5 linked regions of the Oryzias latipes genome follow. The protein of the gene in region 3 interacts with the protein of the main gene of each other region in a pairwise test. Links are inferred from orthologs where the notes say so. Each region holds a gene or a part of one and is shown on either strand. Other genes may lie near its edges. The genes, in order: rcbtb2, appl1, fars2, mid2 and agtrap.

Evidence for each region.
Region 1: the proteins of fars2 (region 3) and rcbtb2 interact in binary tests that used the Homo sapiens proteins (3 or more experiments, as listed by UniProt). The two-hybrid records come from large-scale screens. The link is inferred for Oryzias latipes from reciprocal best matches to the Homo sapiens genes FARS2 and RCBTB2.
Region 2: the proteins of fars2 (region 3) and appl1 interact in binary tests that used the Homo sapiens proteins (3 or more experiments, as listed by UniProt). The two-hybrid records come from large-scale screens. The link is inferred for Oryzias latipes from reciprocal best matches to the Homo sapiens genes FARS2 and APPL1.
Region 4: the proteins of fars2 (region 3) and mid2 interact in binary tests that used the Homo sapiens proteins (3 or more experiments, as listed by UniProt). The two-hybrid records come from large-scale screens. The link is inferred for Oryzias latipes from reciprocal best matches to the Homo sapiens genes FARS2 and MID2.
Region 5: the proteins of fars2 (region 3) and agtrap interact in binary tests that used the Homo sapiens proteins (3 or more experiments, as listed by UniProt). The two-hybrid records come from large-scale screens. The link is inferred for Oryzias latipes from reciprocal best matches to the Homo sapiens genes FARS2 and AGTRAP.

The regions. Positions count from the first base shown.
Region 1 is NC_019871.2:7,144,565-7,148,937, forward strand, and holds the start of rcbtb2 (RCC1 and BTB domain-containing protein 2), read left to right. Parts: upstream 1-1,385; 5' UTR 1,386-1,725; intron 1,726-3,323; 5' UTR 3,324-3,332; coding exon 3,333-3,458; intron 3,459-4,373.
Region 2 is NC_019863.2:32,577,419-32,581,116, reverse strand, and holds part of appl1 (DCC-interacting protein 13-alpha), read left to right. Parts: coding exon 1-2; intron 3-254; coding exon 255-313; intron 314-1,497; coding exon 1,498-1,644; intron 1,645-2,060; coding exon 2,061-2,143; intron 2,144-2,220; coding exon 2,221-2,382; intron 2,383-2,906; coding exon 2,907-3,095; intron 3,096-3,171; coding exon 3,172-3,214; intron 3,215-3,293; coding exon 3,294-3,350; intron 3,351-3,492; coding exon 3,493-3,584; intron 3,585-3,698. UniProt on the Homo sapiens protein: Multifunctional adapter protein that binds to various membrane receptors, nuclear factors and signaling proteins to regulate many processes, such as cell proliferation, immune response, endosomal trafficking and cell metabolism.
Region 3 is NC_019878.2:3,840,839-3,844,941, reverse strand, and holds the start of fars2 (phenylalanine--tRNA ligase, mitochondrial), read right to left. Parts: upstream 2,801-4,103; 5' UTR 2,713-2,800; intron 1-2,712. Other genes in the region: lyrm4 (LYR motif-containing protein 4), read left to right, coding at 2,978-3,069. UniProt on the Homo sapiens protein: Is responsible for the charging of tRNA(Phe) with phenylalanine in mitochondrial translation.
Region 4 is NC_019868.2:12,829,977-12,834,253, reverse strand, and holds the start of mid2 (probable E3 ubiquitin-protein ligase MID2), read left to right. Parts: upstream 1-1,442; 5' UTR 1,443-1,816; intron 1,817-4,277. UniProt on the Homo sapiens protein: E3 ubiquitin ligase that plays a role in microtubule stabilization. Mediates the 'Lys-48'-linked polyubiquitination of LRRK2 to drive its localization to microtubules and its proteasomal degradation in neurons.
Region 5 is NC_019863.2:32,256,288-32,259,544, forward strand, and holds the end of agtrap (type-1 angiotensin II receptor-associated protein), read right to left. Parts: intron 2,439-3,257; exon of another isoform or gene 2,296-2,438; intron 1,134-2,295; coding exon 1,006-1,133; 3' UTR 653-1,005; downstream 1-652. UniProt on the Homo sapiens protein: Appears to be a negative regulator of type-1 angiotensin II receptor-mediated signaling by regulating receptor internalization as well as mechanism of receptor desensitization such as phosphorylation.

The sequences.
Region 1 (4,373 bases), on a different chromosome or scaffold from region 3:
CACACACACACACAAAAACCCTAATAGTTATTTCAAATATTAAATTGAAACACTTTAAACTTAACCTTAGAAATGTAACATTACTTTTCTAAGTAAGTCAAGACTGTTTTCCTTTACAGAAAATATTCATGGAAACTGTGCCACATCATGGGTCTTGTAAAGACAGACATTTCTCAGAATTCACTGTCCAGGGCTCCACCTAATGGAACTTATTCATGACTGCGTTTTAGGGGAAACCAACAAACAAATAAACTACCTTTAAAACAGTAGCCTATAGATAAAATTCCACAATATAACAAGTGTCAGCCTATTGGATATCAAGAATAAGATAAATATTCTCTTTTACTTATATTTAAATTGATATTTTTTTTAAATAAGGCCAAAAATATAAAAATAATCAGGTTGTTTTTGCACTCATTTGTCTGATTGACTCTTGTACACCACAGGACGCATCATTATTGAGATAAAAATGAAAACAAATGAATGTTTTACTGCAGGTCTGACACTACAAATCAAAATAGGGATTTAAAACTTAAAAATGAAGAGAGTTAAGTTGGTCTGAAAATAATCCCAATTTAATAACCTTTGTACAGTCTGGAACAGGCACAGTGGAAGGCTCTGGCTCAAATCCTGGCTGGGACCTTTCTGTGTGAAGTTTGAGTGTTCTCCCCGTGCATGCAGGGGTTCTCTCTGGGCACTTCCTCAAAGTGTCCCTTAGTGTGCATGTATGAGTGTGTGTTGGAGTGATTGTGGCCCTGTGACAGACAAGCGACCTGTCTGGGGCGTACCCCACCTTCGCCCTGGGACAGACTGCGGCGACCCCATGACCCCGAAAGCAATAGAGTGGGTTGAGAAAATGAAAACTGGAATAAACTGAATGATTGTGTTAGTACAAATTAGATATTCCCACACACTTTTGATCACATCTATAAAAAACTAAATGTAAAGTATTGATTACATTTTGATGACTTGTACAGCAAATGGTCAGCTTTAATGAGGGTAGTTCTGCTGAACTTTACACCCAAGTTTTATTCCCCACTGTCACCCCTTTACGTAGCCCTGGACATTACGTTAAAAATAAGTAAATAAATAGTTTCCTCAAATTAGCAATTTGTGCACACAGTTTGCCAATTTGTAGCCACAAATTAAAATTTTAGTAGCATTTGTGTGCATTGCTTTTTCACAGATATTCCCCCTTTTGAGATAATCTGTTAGGCAATTACATAAAATGGTATTAAAACACAGGTATATTATTTTTGGCCTTTTTGAAATAGTCTGGACCAAACTGAGCAACTGCAGACAATTAATTTGTCTTTTTTATATTGTTTCTGAAGACAAACCATTTTTATGAATAAAATGAAGATCGTAATTTTTTAAGCACAAACTATTACTGGATTTCGTTAAATATGTCCGACTCGTTATTTCAAAACTTCAAATGTGCTTGCAGTTCACCACATTAGCCCTGAATTTCTAAAAATTCCTACTTTCGTAAACGCACCATCCGGCAATGGGAAGTGAACTGACGTTTGTGTGTGTTTTTTTTTCCCAAGCCGTGATGTAGCCTTCAAAGCTAGCTCCTGCAAGGTACAAGCAAAGCTACCCGACCAATGTCCCGCTGCAGATGTCCTTTTTGTAAAAAAAAAAAAAAAAAATGTTTTATTGATTACTATTAAATAGTAAAAAGACCATTACAGACGGAGCTCCAGCTTGGACAACAACAACAAGGTAACGTCAACAGTTTGAGCTATTAGCTGTCCTGTCTTACGCTAATCACCTGTACATTGTTTTTCGTTTGTTTTAAGTAGACTTCAGATTTTTTAATACATATTTGTTTAGGTTGTAGGCGGTGTGAGTTAGATTTATAAAACTAAAAATAACTGAATTGTTTGGACTGGAAGCGATAGTTTAGGAAGGAGTTCATCATGCTAACTAACTACTGCAACTTCCTATCATCGTCGCCCAGCCAGGTGACAGCAGGAGTTAGTTTCATTTACAACATTAGATTTTGCATACCTCTGGAGTTTAATAAAACATAGGCAAACGCTAGTTCGACCTATATTTGCATGTCTCTTATATCCAGTCTAAGGTAGTAGAAAACGGTGCAGAATTTATATTATTATTTCAATCTGAAGTGGGTGAGGTTAAAGCAAGGGGGCATACAGTGTTTTTTTTGTTTGTTTTTTACTATAATGTATTAAAAGTTGCATGAAAACACACTAAATTGCAGACTGAATAGATTGGTACGTGTTGATTTTTTTATTCTTTAATGTGAGCTTGTAGATTTTATTATATATACACATAAGCTTGGATTTGGTCAAAGTTTTATTACAAAAACAAAAATTGAGTTAAAAAAAACAATACATGTGACTTTTTCTTAAATCAAAAGGAACATTTAAAAGTTTTTCTTTCAGATTTTAGTGTAAGAACTTTAAAATTCAGCATAATGTAATGAAAGTTTGTCATTTGTTTCTGTTTGGTCACAATTATGTGAAAAATGTTGCCAAACAGCCCAAAAAAAAAGTTTTAAAAGGGAAACGTGAACAATTCAGCAATAGTTCTTGGGGTTTTGTGGCATTTTGAATCAAATTATACACTTGTGAGCTTAAATTTAAATATTTTAGTATTTTGGTTGTGAGACCTTGCCTTTAAAAGTAAGTATTAAAATGAGATATGCTAATGTGTCGAGCTGTTTTTTTGTTTAATCAACAAAATAAATGTTATGAATTTTAAAAACAAAAATACCAGGGACTTGTTTGTGTGCATAGAACAGTTTTCTTGTTTTGTTTTTTTTAACCAAATTAGAGCAGAAATGAAGTGTAAACATTGTGAAATCAAAATATTCTAATAAAATAGAAATTCCTCAAAGCTTCTTAGATGTAAAATGTTAAAAAATATTGCTGGACGTGCACTCCAACACATTTGAATCCGCTTTTTGGTTCTGATTGATCAAAAACGGTCTGTTTTTGTCTGCTACAGACATAACACAATGGATAGTTTGGGACTGACTGCAACAAAATAAACAAAATATTGACATATTACATTCGTTTTTCAGATCTAAGTGAACCTCTTACGTTTTTATATCATGATGGAAGTTTGTTAAGAGTCAAAAAATGAAAAGTTGTGACTTTTCTGTTATTGGCCTTCCCTGATCCAAGTTTTGTGTCAAATTTTCAAGTTAATACCTAATATGTGGATTTATGTGATAGAAATAAACCACAATACACATTTGGAAGCTCCGCACACTGTTGTCATGTGCTATTCTTCAACACTTTCCCCAGCTTACTGTGGTTTTGGTTTAATTGTGTTTTCTTCTCTCTTCTTAGCTGAGTATTATGCTGGACGTGGGGAAGTGGCCTGTGTTTGCACTCCTTCCTCCAGAGGAGCTACGGCTTATCCGGCAAGCTTGTGTCTTTGGCAGTGCTGCTAACGAAGCTCTTTATGTCACCGTTAACGATGAGGTAACCTTTGGGCTTTAAGCAGGACAGCCTTAATCAGCTGGTTTGAATGGAGGTGTGCGACCAGCCTTCAAAGTGTTGATACTCTTTTATTTGATCAGTTCGTGTTGAGACTTTAATAAAACGAATGCTTCAGGCTTCCCAGTCTCAGGTGATATAATGAGAGTTCACAGCACAGAGATAAGCAGATAGAATGAGGCTATCTTTAGCCATATCGGCCTAATACCCGAGCAACTTCTATTTTTATTCAGTGCAAAGGGGCCGAACTACTTGATGTGTTCATGCCATCTTAGTTATCCATCTGATTGTGCTTTTGTGCAATTGTGTGGGGAATATGAAAGCCATTTTTAGCAAATCTTTAAGCAACTGCAACATTTATTTGTTATATTTCAGTAGAATGTTGTTTTGGGAAGATTTCTTTTTACCATTTAATACATTGTTCCTATCCAGAATGTCATAAATGTGTTGAAATAAGAGATTATAAATAAAGTCATTAAAGAAATTTGACGAAAGGCTTGAATTTTAAGGGGGAAAAAAGTCTAAGTTGATCAACACTTTGAGGATAAAAAGGTCAAATTGAAGTGTTTTTTAAAGATCCATCAAATGAAAGTTATGTTTTTGGTCGTTGGTTTCCGATGATGGTAGTGATAAAAAAAAAATTGAGCTTAAAAATCCAATTCAGAGTATTTCTTGATTCAAATTGTCGTGAATCAGGAGCAGACAAAAGAGCCTATTTGTGATGTAGAAAATACCCAAGGTCCTCTGCTCTGAGCTCTCAGCAATGGGGAGAGGAAGTGGGGCGGGGTTGCTTTGCGCCAACAGTTCCCTCCCACAAATCAGAGGGGAATTTGTAATGAACTACTGCACAAAATATTTCCTATAAAAATAACACAAATGTTTACATTTTTGGCTATAAAA
Region 2 (3,698 bases), on a different chromosome or scaffold from region 3:
TGGTAAGTTTTCCTTTCTACCCTGAAGTCATTAAATGTATTTAAGACATGATTAAACATCTGCTGTTTATACAGTAAAGCATTCATAGCAGCTGAATGGTGTCTTGCTTTCATAATTATTGTAACAATAAGAGAAACTCTTCATATTTTGTGTTTAGATTAGGAAAATGAAGTTTGTGGCTTTTTATCTGTGAAGCATAAATTCCACTTTGTTTTAGTTTTTTGGATATAAGTGTTTTTTGTTTCCTTCTGCAGATCACGACACCGCCATCAACCGGTACAGCCGTCTGTCCAAGAGGAGAGACAACGACAAGGTAACCAGCTCTGACGCTGAAACGCTCCTCAAATCAACCTTTGGGTCGATGATGAGAACCTGGGGCTTGAAAAGCTTTCATGAAAACAGGAAGTTTCTCATTTGACTAAAAGATACAAAAGAGCATCTCAACGGTTTAGGGGTTTTTGGTGAGTTTGGATGATTTCGACTCACAGATATTTTTGTCAGAGGTGTGGACTCCAGTCACAAATGATGACTTTAGACTTGACCAAATAGAGAAAGACTTGCAACTGGACTTGGATTTTAACAGCAGTAACTCGTGACTTCACTTGGACTTGAACCTTCTGACTGGAAAAGACTTGTTACTTTCCCCACCAGTCGAAGCTTAAAAAGTTTGGCCCCACGGACCGCTGTCTTTGTGTTTGGGTGCATCTGTGTGTGCTGTCCATCCAACCAATTAGGTCCACATTATTTTGATCCAACGCCATCCAACCCATCAAACTGCAGGACGACCAACGAAGACGAAGTGTCAAACAGGGCGCCGGTTTCTGTTCGCCAAAAGGATTCCTGCGGTTATTACGTTTAGGAATAAAGATGATGAGAAGATAACAGACTGAGGCTCAACGATGGTCAACGTCGTCCATCACTCCAGGTTTGCTCAAAGATCAGTAAATCCTGAATGGAAGCTAACGCTAGCTTAAGGGCTATGTAGCTGCTAGCTGCAGTTAAATCAATGAGACGGAAAACTCGCTGTTGAGACTAAAGTGCAAACATGGTAATCCGGGTTTTATTGAAGAAATGGTTTGGGACTTTTGAAGTGGGATTACATGAGCTAAAGAGGAATATTGTTGATAAAGTTTCTATTACTCTGTTGTTAAAAGGACTTGAAACATTCAACAGTAGGACTTGGACTTGAGACTCGACTCTGGACTTGAGGACAAAGTCTTGTTACTTGCATGTGACTTTCAGATCAATGACTTGATGCCACCTCTGCTCTTTAGCTTCAGTCCGAGTCCTCTGTGGACGTGACGGCGTTTCTCCCTAACAGCTGACGTTCATTTATGGTGGATGGTTTCCTTTCTCCATTAAAGTCCACTTTCACTGAGGCACGACTGCTTTAGCTAAATGTCTGTGGAGCCGGAACGGCATCGGACCGCGTCAGAGCAGAACCGGACCAAGCGGTAACACCTGCTGGTGCGGTCGTGCACCGTCCGTCTGCTACAGGTGCGGGCGGAGGCGGTGGAGGACGTCTACACGTCGCGGAAGAAGCAGCACCAGACCATGATGCACTACTTCTGCTCCCTGAACACGCTGCAGTACAAGAAGAAGACGGCTCTGCTGGAGCCGCTCCTCGGCTACATGCAAGCTCAGGTAGAGGTGCTCGCTCGGGGGGGCGGGGTTCATCTGATGACCTCGCTCTGACGCCACGCATTCGTCTGTGGTGGAGCGTCTAAAGTGACTGCCGCCCGCTGAAGAATGGTTGAGTGTGAAAGAAATTAAGAAGGACTATTTGATGAAGCTTTTTGATGCAAAACCTGATAGAAAGTGGATAAAACATCTGGATCAGCCTTCTAATGAAGTTTTAGTTTGTTCTTAGGAATTCAATGTTTGAAGAAAATGCTATGAATGAGTTCTAAAGGTGAAAAAAGTAACAAATACATGAGTAGAGATGTTCTGAAACATTCTGCTGTTGCATTGGTGTCTCCCTGTTTGGAGGGAGCCTGCCTCCTCCTGCATCCAGCTGTGGTCCGTCCTGCTCCTCATCCCGGATCTGCTGTCCTTTTCAGATCAGTTTTTTCAAGCTGGGCTCCGAAAACCTCAGCCAGCAGTGGGAGGACTTTCTGGGAACCATAGGAACCAGCGTCCAGAAGTAAGTGCGATCTTCCTCTCGGAACACTCCTCCTCCCTGAGACCAAGGTGACGGGCAGTTTGTGCTTTCATGGGCAGCGTGCGGCGGGAAATGGAGGAGGAGGTGGGGCAGATGCAGCAGACCATTCAGCAGATGGAGCGATCATGTGACCCCCTGTATGCGCCCTGTGACCCAGACCCCGCCCACTCACCCGTTTGCCGAAACCTGACCAGGAAGCAGGGCTACCTGTACATCCGCAAGTAAGACGCCGTTCAGCTCGGCTTTCTTTTAGAAGAGCAGGAACCTCTTTGGATTGGTTCTCGCTCGTGTTCTTTCCTTCTGTGTTTAAACTGTTTCCCTTCCAGTCTTTTTTACAATCTTTGTTTCGGTTCTGGTGTCAGCCGTCGACCCAAAACCTCAATTATAAATCCAAAAATAACAAAAACAGGATAACTGTTACATCCGTGCTTTAAGCCTTAGGTTTGATTGGAAAACCTGTTTTACATGAACGAGATTCTACACAAAAAGAGCGTCGTGGATTGGTTTATCAGTTCAGAGCTAGGAATTTCAATTTAGTTATCAATTAACCTGAGATTATGAACCATTATGAATTTAACAAGACATTGGGGGACTTTGGAGAAAAGCCCAAATTCAGCAGAGCGTACCTGTGGTGACCTCAGGCATCAGATACCTGCAGCACGGAGGGGAAAGCTCCTGCCAGAGCTGCAGCTGCGTGTGTCAGCTGGAATCTTGGTTAGTGAGAGAACGCTGGTTCTGTCTTCAGTAAAACGGGCCTGGTGTCGTCGTCCTGGGAGCGTCAGTACTTCTTCACGCAGGGCGGTAACCTCATGCAGCAGGGCCGGGCTGAGGTGGCGGGCGGGTTGGTCACCGATCTGGACAACTGCTCCGTCATGGCCGTCGACAGCGACGACCGCCGCTTCTGCTTCCAAGTCACGTCGTTTGACGGCAAAAAGTGAGCGGACGACTTTTGAAAAGCTTTGCGGGCCGTTCTGCTGCAGGTTTGAGCGTTTCCGTCTGTGTCCCTGCAGAGTGGTGACGCTGCAGGCGGAGAGCAGGAGGGACTGCGAGGAGGTAAGAAGCCGCTCCCTCCTCTGCTCTGTGGTTTTCTGGATGCTTCCTCACGCCCCGTCTCTGCTGCTTCCTCCAACAGTGGGTCGCCACCATCAACAACATCTCCAAGAGGATCTACCTCAGCGAAAACGCAGAGGTCAGAGTTCAGCTGTTTGCCGTCAGGTTGCCTCTGTGAAGCCTGAACTGTGTTCTGAACAGCAGCGGGTCCTCCGGCTGAAGCTCTGATGGGCAGAGCTGACTCTGCTCAGCAATTGTAGAAAAAACTGTTTTTCTGGCAGGAGGTGGCGGCCAGAGTGAACCAAACGGCCCTGGAGGCGGTGACGCCGTCCCCGTCTTTCCAGCAGAGACACGAGAGCATGCGGCCCAGCAGGTGAGACGGGAGGGTTTGTTTAGGGGCAAAACGGGCCTCCGTTGAAGTTCTTTCAACGTTGTGAAAGCTTCAGAGCTGTAGAAAAAACCCATCGGCGGCGACCCGGCCTGACCC
Region 3 (4,103 bases):
ATCTGACCTTTTAGACATCCACTGCAGAGGAGCATACTGTCCAAACACACATGCACACAAATGCGCAGAAATACTTCTAAAAGACTCTGCAGAAGACCGAGCGCGGCCACAATGATGTCACAAAACGAAGAATTTATTTTAATGCTAATGCTTGAAAAGACAGAAACAACCATATTTGGACATGTGGGAGGAGCTATTTCCTCCCAACTTGATAAAACTAAAGGCAGAACTAATGAAATGAGTCAACAGGACCCCAATAGGAGTCTTTCCAGCCCTAAAGTCAAGTATCAAACACTAATCCAAAAAGAAAAACAGCATGAAATGTGGTTTACAATATTCTTTTATCCTATTTAAGTTTTCCTTAAGAAGTACACTACTCAATAAGTTAGGGATATTGGGGATAGGGCGGTAATTGTATTGGGGTGATTATAGACACAACTCATTTAGTGTTTTCCATATCATGGTCTCATGTGTACAGTATGTGTCACTTACTGGAGCGAAAGCCAAAAAAAGTATCTGAAAGAAAAGTATTTTCAATGAGGCATCAATGTCAACATTCTGTAGGTATAAAAAGCTGATTTAGTCAGTAAATGATTTCAGGTTCATCATTCAAACAGCTATAAACACGATGTCACTCAATGTCTGAGCAGCACTGCCTGTCCACAGCACCTTCAGGCTGGTAGGAGAAAGTCAGCTGTTGCAGGTGAACTTGGTGAATCTCAAAGTGTCTTCAGCAGATTTTCACTCTGAACTACTGTCAGAGTTTGTGACAGACAGGAGTGGAGCCCCGTCATTGACAGACCACAACCATGACCAGAACCTAAGGACTTCTGACTTCAGACATAGTTTTGTAAATACCACACAGCTGCAGGCCGTTTACCAGATGTGAGGGGTACCAGGGTTTCCAGACTAACCAACTCCACCACTTTTACTGGAATGATAGACGACTGTTGCAGGGGACTCCACTGACACCAAGACACCACCGTGAAGGTTTGCACAAAACCATGTGACCTGGACAATGACCTAGACTTCAGGGACATTACAGAAACATTATCATCCCCCAACTTTCTGTTCATGGATGAGAAGACTCCACCACATGGTGCTAGAATTGTCACAGCTGGACTTCAGTAAGCAGGAGTGTGTCGTATGGTATGGCCATCAATGACCCCTGACCTGAACCCCATAGAGGATGTCTGGAACCAGCTGAAACAGAGAATGGATGACAGTACCCCACCACTACATCAGTGTTTCCCAACCCTGGTCCATGAGTCACACTGTCCTGCATGTTTTCCATGTTGCTCTGCTTATGCACACCTGATTAAGCTCATCATCAGGCTCTGCAGAAGCCTGACAGTCATCAAAGGCAGGTGTGTTTGGGAAGGGAAGGCTGATCGGAAAATTCTAATGACCGAGCATTCCACTGGTATTTAAACGCAGCACTTACGGACGAATTTGTGAGACGTGAAAACAGTCTCACGGTAGATCCGTGCGTAACTTTGGCTTTGTGTGTGCGTAACAAGGGATTCGTGCGTGTTTTTTTAAAGATGTGTGTGTGTAAGTAGTTTCAAGCTGTTGTAATCTTATTTTGTGCATACGTAAATTGCATTTTGTATTTTTTTCATTTTATATTTTTTTAACTTATACACAAAACGTGTTATGTGAGTAACAAATCACGCACAAATCCAAATTTATGCACAAATCCTAATTTACGCACGCACAAAGCAAGAATATGCATACACAAATCCTAATTTACGCACAAATCAAGAATTACGCACGCACAAATCCGACTGAGTCTAATTTCTCTCCATAGTCACACCCCTAGTGGCAAATGGTGGAAATACCCACCATTTAATACTTTTTTATTGGCTTAATTTTGGGGTTATAAATATCAAACTAATGAAAATGATGTTTCATCTCATTCATTATTAGTAATATTAAAGGGGACTTAGTGTGGAGTTTGCATGTTCTCCCTGTGTGTGCGTGTGTGGGTTTTCTCCGGGGACTCCAGCTTCCTCCAACAGTCCAAAAACCCAAAAACATGCTTCATAGGTACATTAGCTTCTCTAAAATGTCTCTAGGTGTGAATGTGAGTGTGCATGGTGTGTGATTTGTGGCCCTGGCAACCTGTCCAGGGTGTCCCCTGCCTTCGCCCACGAGTGGCCGGGAAAGGCTCTGGCAGCCATGTGACCCCAAAAGGGGCAAAACGGGTTTAGAAGATGAATGAATAAAGGTAACTTTATCGTACTTCATTCAAATTCAAACCAAAAAGGAGAAACCGAATGTAAATGATAATATCCCTGACTTATTAGCTGTGTTGTATTTATAAAACTACCAAACATAAACAAATGACCAAAGATTGACAGTCCTGATCAAGAGGGTCATACAGGGAGGGTCCAGAGCAGGACTCTGTGCGGTCACACACTTCCTGTTAAAGAATCCCTGACCTAAAAAAAGACCCACGTTCGCGCGTGCACACCCACACATAAACACACACCTGACAACAGCTGAAGCTGCCTGTTGTCAAGTATGATCTGCTGCAGAACCTCACAAATACAAAAGGAGCTTTTTAAACCCGACAAGCAACACATTTTCACAATTAATGATTCTTATTCCTGCACTATAATATCGAATTTTGTACCGACACCTTAGAAAAGGTCTTCTTATTATATAAGTAATATATTTTAGAGGTTAAAATTAGCAATGCTAACTCACCTTCTGTCACACTTCAGCTTTCAACTCTTGTGAGGTATGCGGAAGCGCGCCTGCATGACTCTTGGATTATGAACATGTTTCAAAAATAAATATGCATATTTATGCTGTGTGTTATTTAATAAATGACGTTCTTTTATCAAACTTATTATAATGTAACATACGAAAATAATGACAAACAGCCTAGACTTTGGATTTCTAAACTGGCGCTAGTTGGTCGCTCTTAAGTAAGGGTCCTTCATCGCAGGGACCGAACAGCGTCGGTAGCATGAACATGGCAGCGTCTGCTCGAGCCCAGGTGCTGTCTTTGTACAGAATGATGCTGAAAGAGAGCAGCAGGTTTCCTTCCTACAACTACAGGTAAGAGGCGGACTGAAGCCGGGTTCAGCGGGGCTCATGGCCGCTGTGCTCCGGCTGTCAAAGGAGGAAAGTGCCTGCTAACGCCTGTGTTTTGATCATTGATGAGCTGCTGCAGAGTTTACGAAACTCTCCTGACTGCTGCTGCACCAGTTCATGTGTTACAAAACTAACCTTATTCATTATTACATTTCTTCCCTTTGGAATATTATACAGGGTTATTATAATGAAAAAGCTTATTTTAAGGTGTTCCCTCATGATCACTTGAAGGCACGTTGGTAATAATAGCAATGGAGTTTGGTAATGCCATGCTATAGCAGAATATGATAAAGTACAATCAATGCCATTCATAATTTCATAAGAACTTTGTTTTTATTGACAAATTGTTGACTGGTTTTGTTTTCTTGGGACTCTTATTTTGAAAGTTTGTTGATCATAACGACTTTGAAAAGCCTTAATCTCAATTTTAATCATGCAGAAGCCTTTTTATTTAAAGGTTTTGAGTTTATGGAAACAGACCTGAACTCTGTTTTGCACGTTTTACTGATAATCTGAAGCTACTTTATTTCATCTTTTGAGTGCATTCTCTCTCCTCGAACATCACTTCAAAATAAGTCAGACTATGATTGAATTCATTTTCAAAATACTTTTCAAGCTCACATGACGGAGCTGATAATCTCTGATCTCCTGCTGTCTCCTTTCATGGTGGCTATTTTGCTGTCATTCATCTTCTGCCCCCCCTTTGACTGTTGTTAAACATGTTCCTTAAGAGGAGCTCAGACCCCCACAGGTCATCCTCCTCGTGTTGGATGAGTGATTGACAGATGGAAAGTCTTCATGTGAAACTCATGATGTGGGATACGTACATAAAAGCTATTAGTCATCTATTCTGTCTGGGACTCTTATGGACTATATTTCTGTTTTATTATTTTGGAATCCCATATCTGTTGTTTGAAGGTGCTGTAGTCCTTCATGACCTCCTGTTTACACTTGTGATGGTAATTTGCCACTCGAGCTACGTTCACACCACCTCAGCA
Region 4 (4,277 bases), on a different chromosome or scaffold from region 3:
AAGTTTTCACCACCCTGCTGTAAGCACCTTCAGTTATATAACCTCCATTGTCATAATAAGTTGCCATTATATTTTTTCCCATTTTTCCAGAGAAGGATTAGCCAGTTTAACATTTGTTTTTTTTCACATACCATTCATCACAAGCAAAATGAACAACATATTAATATTTAGAAATTATAAAAATACAGTTTGAATTAATATGTAAACCAACCTGTGTGTTAGACTATAAAACAAAGCATTAATGTGTCTAGATGGAAGGTAGCCGGTGTTAGAGGATGCAGACAGGGTTAGATGGAGGAAGCTTATTCGCTGTGGCGACCCCTGAAGGGAAGGAAAAGAAGAAGAATTTGGATGGGATTTTAAAAAAACAAATTGTCCACCCAAAGCTCTTGTGGTCTAGAGAAATATTTCATGAGGATGTTTTTCATATTCTGACACAGCTTTGATGTTAGTCACACTGCAGGATGGTTTACTGCTCTATAAGAGCAGCTCCACATAAATAGATGCAGTATTACAAAATATTTATTTGTGAGTTTGTGGTTTTGCACAATTTGCACACTTTTATTCAACCTTAAATAAGGGATTGAAAAACTCAATGCATGTTTTGTGTCACAAAAGCTGAGGAGTCCCTGTAAAGCTTCTAATGTTGAGCAAGTCATACTGACAGGCTCCAAATGCTCTGCCCTGGAGTATTTTATAGCTTCATTTTGTGTGTTTATATGTTTACATAAAAAGTTTGCAGGTTACGGAAAAAAATATAAAACAATGGACAATACAGGCTTGTGCTGTTTGCAGCCCTTCAGGCTAATTGCAGTTCTGAAATGCAGTATAACTGTTTTACAGAGAAGGCCTGTGAGACAAAGAAAACTGTATTTTGGCTTGCTTGTGGGGATAAAGTTGCAAGGTTGGCAAGTCTCCCCTGCTAATCCTGTGGCCTCCAGCATGTTGCAAAGATAGTCTGTCCCAAATACATGCAGTAGGTCAGTTTAACATACATTTCTGCTCAGATATTTTGCGGTCTCTGACAATAAATCTGGAGGGAAAATTTGATGTTTCTTTCTTTTTTTTTAAATTATTGCATAAGCAAAAGGTAAATTTTTACCTTTTTAAAAAAGTATTGGAAAATAAAATATTTTGTGAAATTGCTCTTGTAGTATAATTGGTCTCCAGTTGGGAGTTATTTTTACTAAGTGGGCATTGTCTGTGTCATGGCAAGATTGTAATTCATTTTTAATAACGACCATGTGTTTTTTTTTTTAATCCACAATTTGAATAAAATAAATAAATGGGTTAAAAATAAAAGGACATATTTTTAGTATCTATAGTTCTTTGGAAATCTATAAAGACTGCACTGTTGAAAGTGAACAGAAATGACAGCGACGCCGTGAGGCCACGCGGGAGGAGAGCGCGGGTGGAGCAAAAGAGACGTTGTGCGCACAGCTCGGGGTTTTCACAGTGGAGCAGTGGAGTAACCGATCCCAGATGCTGCCGTGAGGGATCGAGAGCTATTCCCGTATCCCTGTGGGTTGCCCACGTGACTCCTCGGGGATTGTTTGGTGTGGGGACCACGTCAGGCGGCAGGGAGAGCGCGCAACGTTGCGCGCAACTGAGTTGGAAAGCAGCACCCAGAAGAGGAAGACGCGCTCTCGCTCCTCCGGCGGCTCGTCATCCAGATGTGTTTTGGGGCGTTGACTCTCGTCTCTCACCCACTCTGATGCTCAGTCGCACCTTTGTCCAAACTTTCCGTCCAGGATCTGTGATCTTCTCCAACTGTTCTTCCACGAGGGTCCATCCAGAGCTGTCACGGGGGGCGGAGGTAAGCTGCGCGTCTTTGTTGTGTTTATTTTTGGTGGAGTAGCCTCAGGACAACGTGCGCTGAAGGATAAGCGCTGACTGAAGCATCCGTCAATGCGCGAAGGGCGCGTTCTGTTCTAATGACCCACATCCATGGAGGAGGGGGGGGGGGGGCAGAATGAAAAACAAGCAGAGCATGACTGACCATCTCATTCTGTTTTAAATGAGGTGTGCCACTTTTACACCACAAGCATTTTTTTTTTGGAGAGTCAGGAAACTGTTTCTACAAGATTTTGTGGGCATTATTTTGAGTTTCTTTTATGCACATTTCATGCACACCACACGTATCCTCTGTGGTATTGCATAGCATTTCAGGAACCAAGGCAGCCACCATAACTGACACCTGATCCGGGAGCCTGATGTCAGTGAGACGCTTTGTTTGAAGAACACTCAAAAAAGCTGGGAATAGCTCCTGGAGTGTGACATGAATACATTTCACAATAGATTACAACTCAGTTAAAAACTGAAATTAATTACCATAATTTTTAGAGTCACATTTTTTGTTATTGACACAATTTTTGTTATGGTTTGGCAAAGGGTGCTACTTATATCAACCTTTTCCTCTTTATTAGGCATTTTTTGGCTGCTGTGACTTAAACTGTGAAAAATGTAGTAAAGTACGTTTTTTGTTTTGTTTTCTCATTCCTAGTGACATTAGGGAGAAAGTGGCACAGCGGCAGAGTGTAAAATGTCAATGGGCAGCAACTGATCAATAATGAATGAGTCAAAACAATGCAGGGCAGGGAAAGAGGGGTCAACTGTCACGAAGTGCTGCTTGTCCCTTTTTTCACCAAGGCTACCCATTGATTCAATAGAAACCAATACATTAGTGACACAATAAAACCAAGTGCTGTGTCTGTTGCTGGGGAATTCAGCGGCACATTTGATGAAGTGGTGTTTCACAGTCTTTTAAAGTGATTTATGGTCCCCTGCACTCTTTTCTTGCTCTGTGGTTAATGCACGATCAAAGTGGCTAATGAGGCAGGTCTCAGTGGATGGGGGCTCGACACCCAAATGCAGTCGAGCTAGTCGTGAGAGTATAGCTGACACCCTCATTCATCATGGTTCTACAGGCCTGCTCTTTCCAATTTATCTGCTTTTTTTTCCTTCCCCCTTTACGCTCTTAGATGGTAATTATTATGATGTTTTAATGATGACAACAGTAGTCACTTTTTTGTGACAGGGACAGGGGTGTCTGTCAGTTGACACGCAACTAGAATTTTGCAGCTGCAGAGGATTCCATGAATAGAACTGAGAGGTACATGTTAGACTGTGTGTCTTAGCTGGCATTGCTCACACAGAACCAAAAAAGAAAAAAAGAAAAAATTTAATTCTTAAGGAAAAAACAAGTCTTCAAAAAGTACTGTTTTTTTTCTGACTATAAGACGCTCCAGGGTACATGCCACAGCAGCCAAAAAGTGCCTAGAAAAAAAGAAACGATCATATATAAGTCACACTTTTGAGAGAATTTAATTAAACAAAATACAGAAAAGGGATCTTAATCTTGAAAGGCAAATCCTATTTGCAGCAAAATTTCACTGTACTTGTACAATGACAATAAAGCTATAACTTTGATGACTTCTTTTCAATTTTTATAATGGAATGGATAACAGTAATAGTCAAAATATCTGTACACTTCACTACCATAATACATTGATTCCTATTTAGCTTCATGAAACATAGGAGTAGTTTAGAATAGCCCAACATATGAACAATTATTCAGATAACCATATCATAAAGAACATGCTAACAAGTCATTTAAACTCTTTATATTACTTCAAATGACTAAATCCGTTCAATTCTTCATCCTCTGTTTCACTTTGGAACAATTCTGCTTAGCCCGGCGTAAGACTGAATGACTCTTCTTCCTCTCTGATGTTGTCAGTAGCAAATACTGATACACACACCTACAGTGCCTTCTAGCTGTTGTGCATTTTTTCTTTTTTTTAAAAACACATATAAGTCACAACTGAGTATACTTTGCACCCCCGCCCAAATACATGCAAAAAAAATGCGATTTATACTCCAAAAATAGGGTATATGTATTATTTATTTTTTAAGATTAAAAAGAAAGAAAAAATTAACTTGTATAGTTGCTAAACTAACTCTTATCACCTTAAATGCCCAATATGATCTTCAGTGGCTATCATTTTGCTATTAATTTTTAATGTTTCAAGCTTTAAATAATGTAAAATGTTCTGGGTAATAATAAAAGCTGTGTTTAGCTGAAAGAGAGCTCAGTCTGTTGTTGATACACAAGAGTGTCATCAGCATAGAAATAGAAATGTTATTTGACTTTTAGTCCTTTTTTTTAATTATAATTTGTGTTTTTAAAACTCACACATAAGAACCTGGATCAATTTTTTCATCAAGTAACTGAAAGTTTCAAATATGCTTCAAAGAAATTCTAAAAAAGTTTTTAG
Region 5 (3,257 bases), on a different chromosome or scaffold from region 3:
GAGGAAAGAATACGCTGAAAAGTTTGATTGACAGGACATTTACAAAGAAGAAGCAGTTCATAAACCTTTAAACCTACAAACTGAATTCTACATCTGCCTTAAAAAAAAACTCTAAAAAGGTGAAGATAATTTACACTCAAATTTGGTTTAAAAAAGGCTAAAATATGATTTTTTTTAAAATGTCAAAAATGTTTTAAACCAACAGAATAATGAGAGCTGCAAACATCCTAAAAACTGCTAAATTCAAACTAGATCAAATCCTAAATGATCTTCATAAAGGTTTAAAGGTTACATTATCAAAAACCGCCGTCATGTCGGAGTTTTGGAAAGAGAGAAATGTCAAAAATGTAGTAAATAAAGAATATCTAAGCCAAATCATTTACTCAAAATATAAACATTTGTTTTGAAAAATAATAAAAGAAAGAAAAACCAAAACGAAAAGCAGGAATCTCCAGGTTTCACAGAATAAAAGCCGTAAATGTTGTCAAACGGCTCCATTGAGAAAAACGGATGAGTTATTCGCTGAGACGCTAAGCACGCTGGGAAATGGAGTGTTTCTGTGTTGGGATGTGCAGAGCGGCAGATGTGTTTGTGCAGCATCAACATTACTGAAGTGTTTCCGTTCTGGTCCAAGGATTCAAACCCCAAACGCTGAGTTTTCGGTCAAACATTTATTTCAGTTTGTTAAAGCAAAGAGTTTCTGCAAAATAGTCATAAAATACTGCAAAAAGGTACGACTATAACTCACAGAACTGTCTGTAACCGTCTGTAAATGCCACGTAAAAAATAATCTACTTGACAGCTTGACTGGAATCGCGTTGGTAACAGCAGACGAGCAGCAGGAGGTTCAGATTTCCTCCTGAAAACACGACATTCACTGGAAGATGAAGAGTTCACCCCAAGTATTTATTCACCAGAAGGATTTGTGGGGTTTTGCACACATTCGTCGCCCGTCGCTGCATATAAAGTCAGAGAGAAGGCTGCGCGGTTGGCGTCCGGCGGCGCTCAGTACGTGCGGACTCCTGGTCGGGTGGTGTCCTGGGCCTGGTTGAAGGGGTTTGGTGGGCTGGACGACTCGTCCTGCTGGTCGATGGACTGATAGGCTTCTCTGTTCCGTGATACCGAGGGAAAACCTGCAGGGAAGCAGCAACAAGGCAGCGAAAAGGCGTTATTTGGAAATATTACCCTCATTCAAACAATCTGGTCTTTGGACTCCGGCTTTTTGCTGAAATCTAGAAACATTTTTGCTAGAGTTTCATCATTTTTAATTCCACTTCCTCCCACAGACTTCTCTTTCTTTATTCTAGTATCTTTCTACAATTTTTCATCTATTTTAACCATTCAACTATTCAAATGTTCAGCTATTTCATCTTTTTCCAGCTGTGATTTTTGCTCCTTCAAATCCTTGAACTTTTCCAGATATTCCAGGATTTCTGCCTCCATTGAAATAAAGGGGAATCCTTGGAGCAGAAGCTCGCTGGTTCGATACCCGGCTCTGGCATTTTTCACAAATATTTTTTTGTTATTGTGCTGTTTTCACTTTATTTATGATCAACTTTGATCATTTATTTATTTACTCTTTTTTTGTTTTTTGACAAATGTTATTCTTTAAGTTTCATTTTCATTCAGCAGTATAGCATCAACCCTGCTGTTTCTTCTGGAAATGCAGCTCCTTCTAATAAACTCTGTTTTTGTGGCGGACGTTCCAGAGCTGCATGAACACCTGAGACTCTGCTCAGAATATGAATGCTGCATGTTTGAAGGGTTTCTGAGTCATTTATGCGCATGCAACTGCTTCCCATTAACTTTCAATTATGAGCCAACCTTATTTGGATTTTAATTAGGCTCATTTCAGAGTCGTACATACAAGGAAACCCAAAAACACACAACACACGAACACAAATGAGGCGTCTGGAGACCATCTCTGAATAAAATATCAGTAATACTTGCAGACATAAACACCAACAGAGAGCCTAAAACGGTAATGAGGACAGGTGAGAAGGGCCTCACGGAAACGAAATGTTGGTTTTGCTTCTTTAAACCACGTCGTGCTCCCGAATGAGCCGACGCCGCATGACGGCAGGACGGCCGTCTCAGCTCAGCAGCTCATTTAGTGCTGCAGCCCCCCTGGTGCCAACATGCAGTCCCAACACAGACTCTCTACAGAGGAGAACCTCTGTTGGTGCAGCTCAGCCAGAACATTCACAGAAGGGATGGATCAGAACTTCAACACGACAGAAGGGAAAGAAAAGCATCTTTCTCCCGTTTGTCCTGCAGTCTGATCACAAAGCTTACTTCCGGGCTGAAGCAGGACCGAAGAGGACGACCCGGGGAGGGAACTGATAGAAAGGGGGAAGCCGGCGATCAATAACGGCGGCCAAAAAAGGCACTGTCGGCACTGTCCGTAGTGCAGCGACTGTCCACTGAGGTCTCTAAATCTGAGGGTTCGAGGGAAAGCGGTGGAGGAGAAAGAACAGAAACAAACCATCAAAACGTGCAGAAACACAGGAAACAGCATGACAGCCAAACAAAGACATGGAAAACAGACGACAAGGCAAACGCAGGAGCCGCAGGAAAGCTCACCTGACAGGCAGAAGACGGACTTTTCACCACATTCTGACCAAACTAAGCTGCTGCGTTTGCATTGCTGTTGGCGTCTACAAAGGTCTCAGGTAGGGGTGTGACGATAACCTCATCACCGCGGTGATGACCTCATCACAGCACCTTTTTTTAATTTGAAAGTTTTTATTATTTTTTTTCTGAAAGTTCTGCATATGATGATTGGAACTATAATTAAACACGTTCATCTTTGCTGATAATTTACTTTTTCTAGTCCTGTGTTCAGACTTCAAGGGTTTCTGGGGGGAACCTTTCATTTCTGTTTTCCTTCACTCCCTCTACGCTGCACGCGCTCACTCTACTCACACACACACACACACACACACACACACACACACACATGAGGTTTCAGCAGCACACACATCCTCATTCTACAACAGAAATTTCCTTCTCGCGAGGAAATACGACAAATTTACTGCGTTCTAATCATTAATTTCCATTGTATTCATTTCCATTACAAGCTGGGTGCGTTCTTGAGTGCGCGACATAGACGCCCGCCGGAGGATTTTGTGTTGGGGGGGGGGGGTTGTTACTGTTCTCCTTCACTCTGTAACACCAAACATGAACGTGCACCGTTAGATTTCCATGAATATCACTACATGTTTTGTTTGCGTAACGTTACGTGTCTGTATGAACAA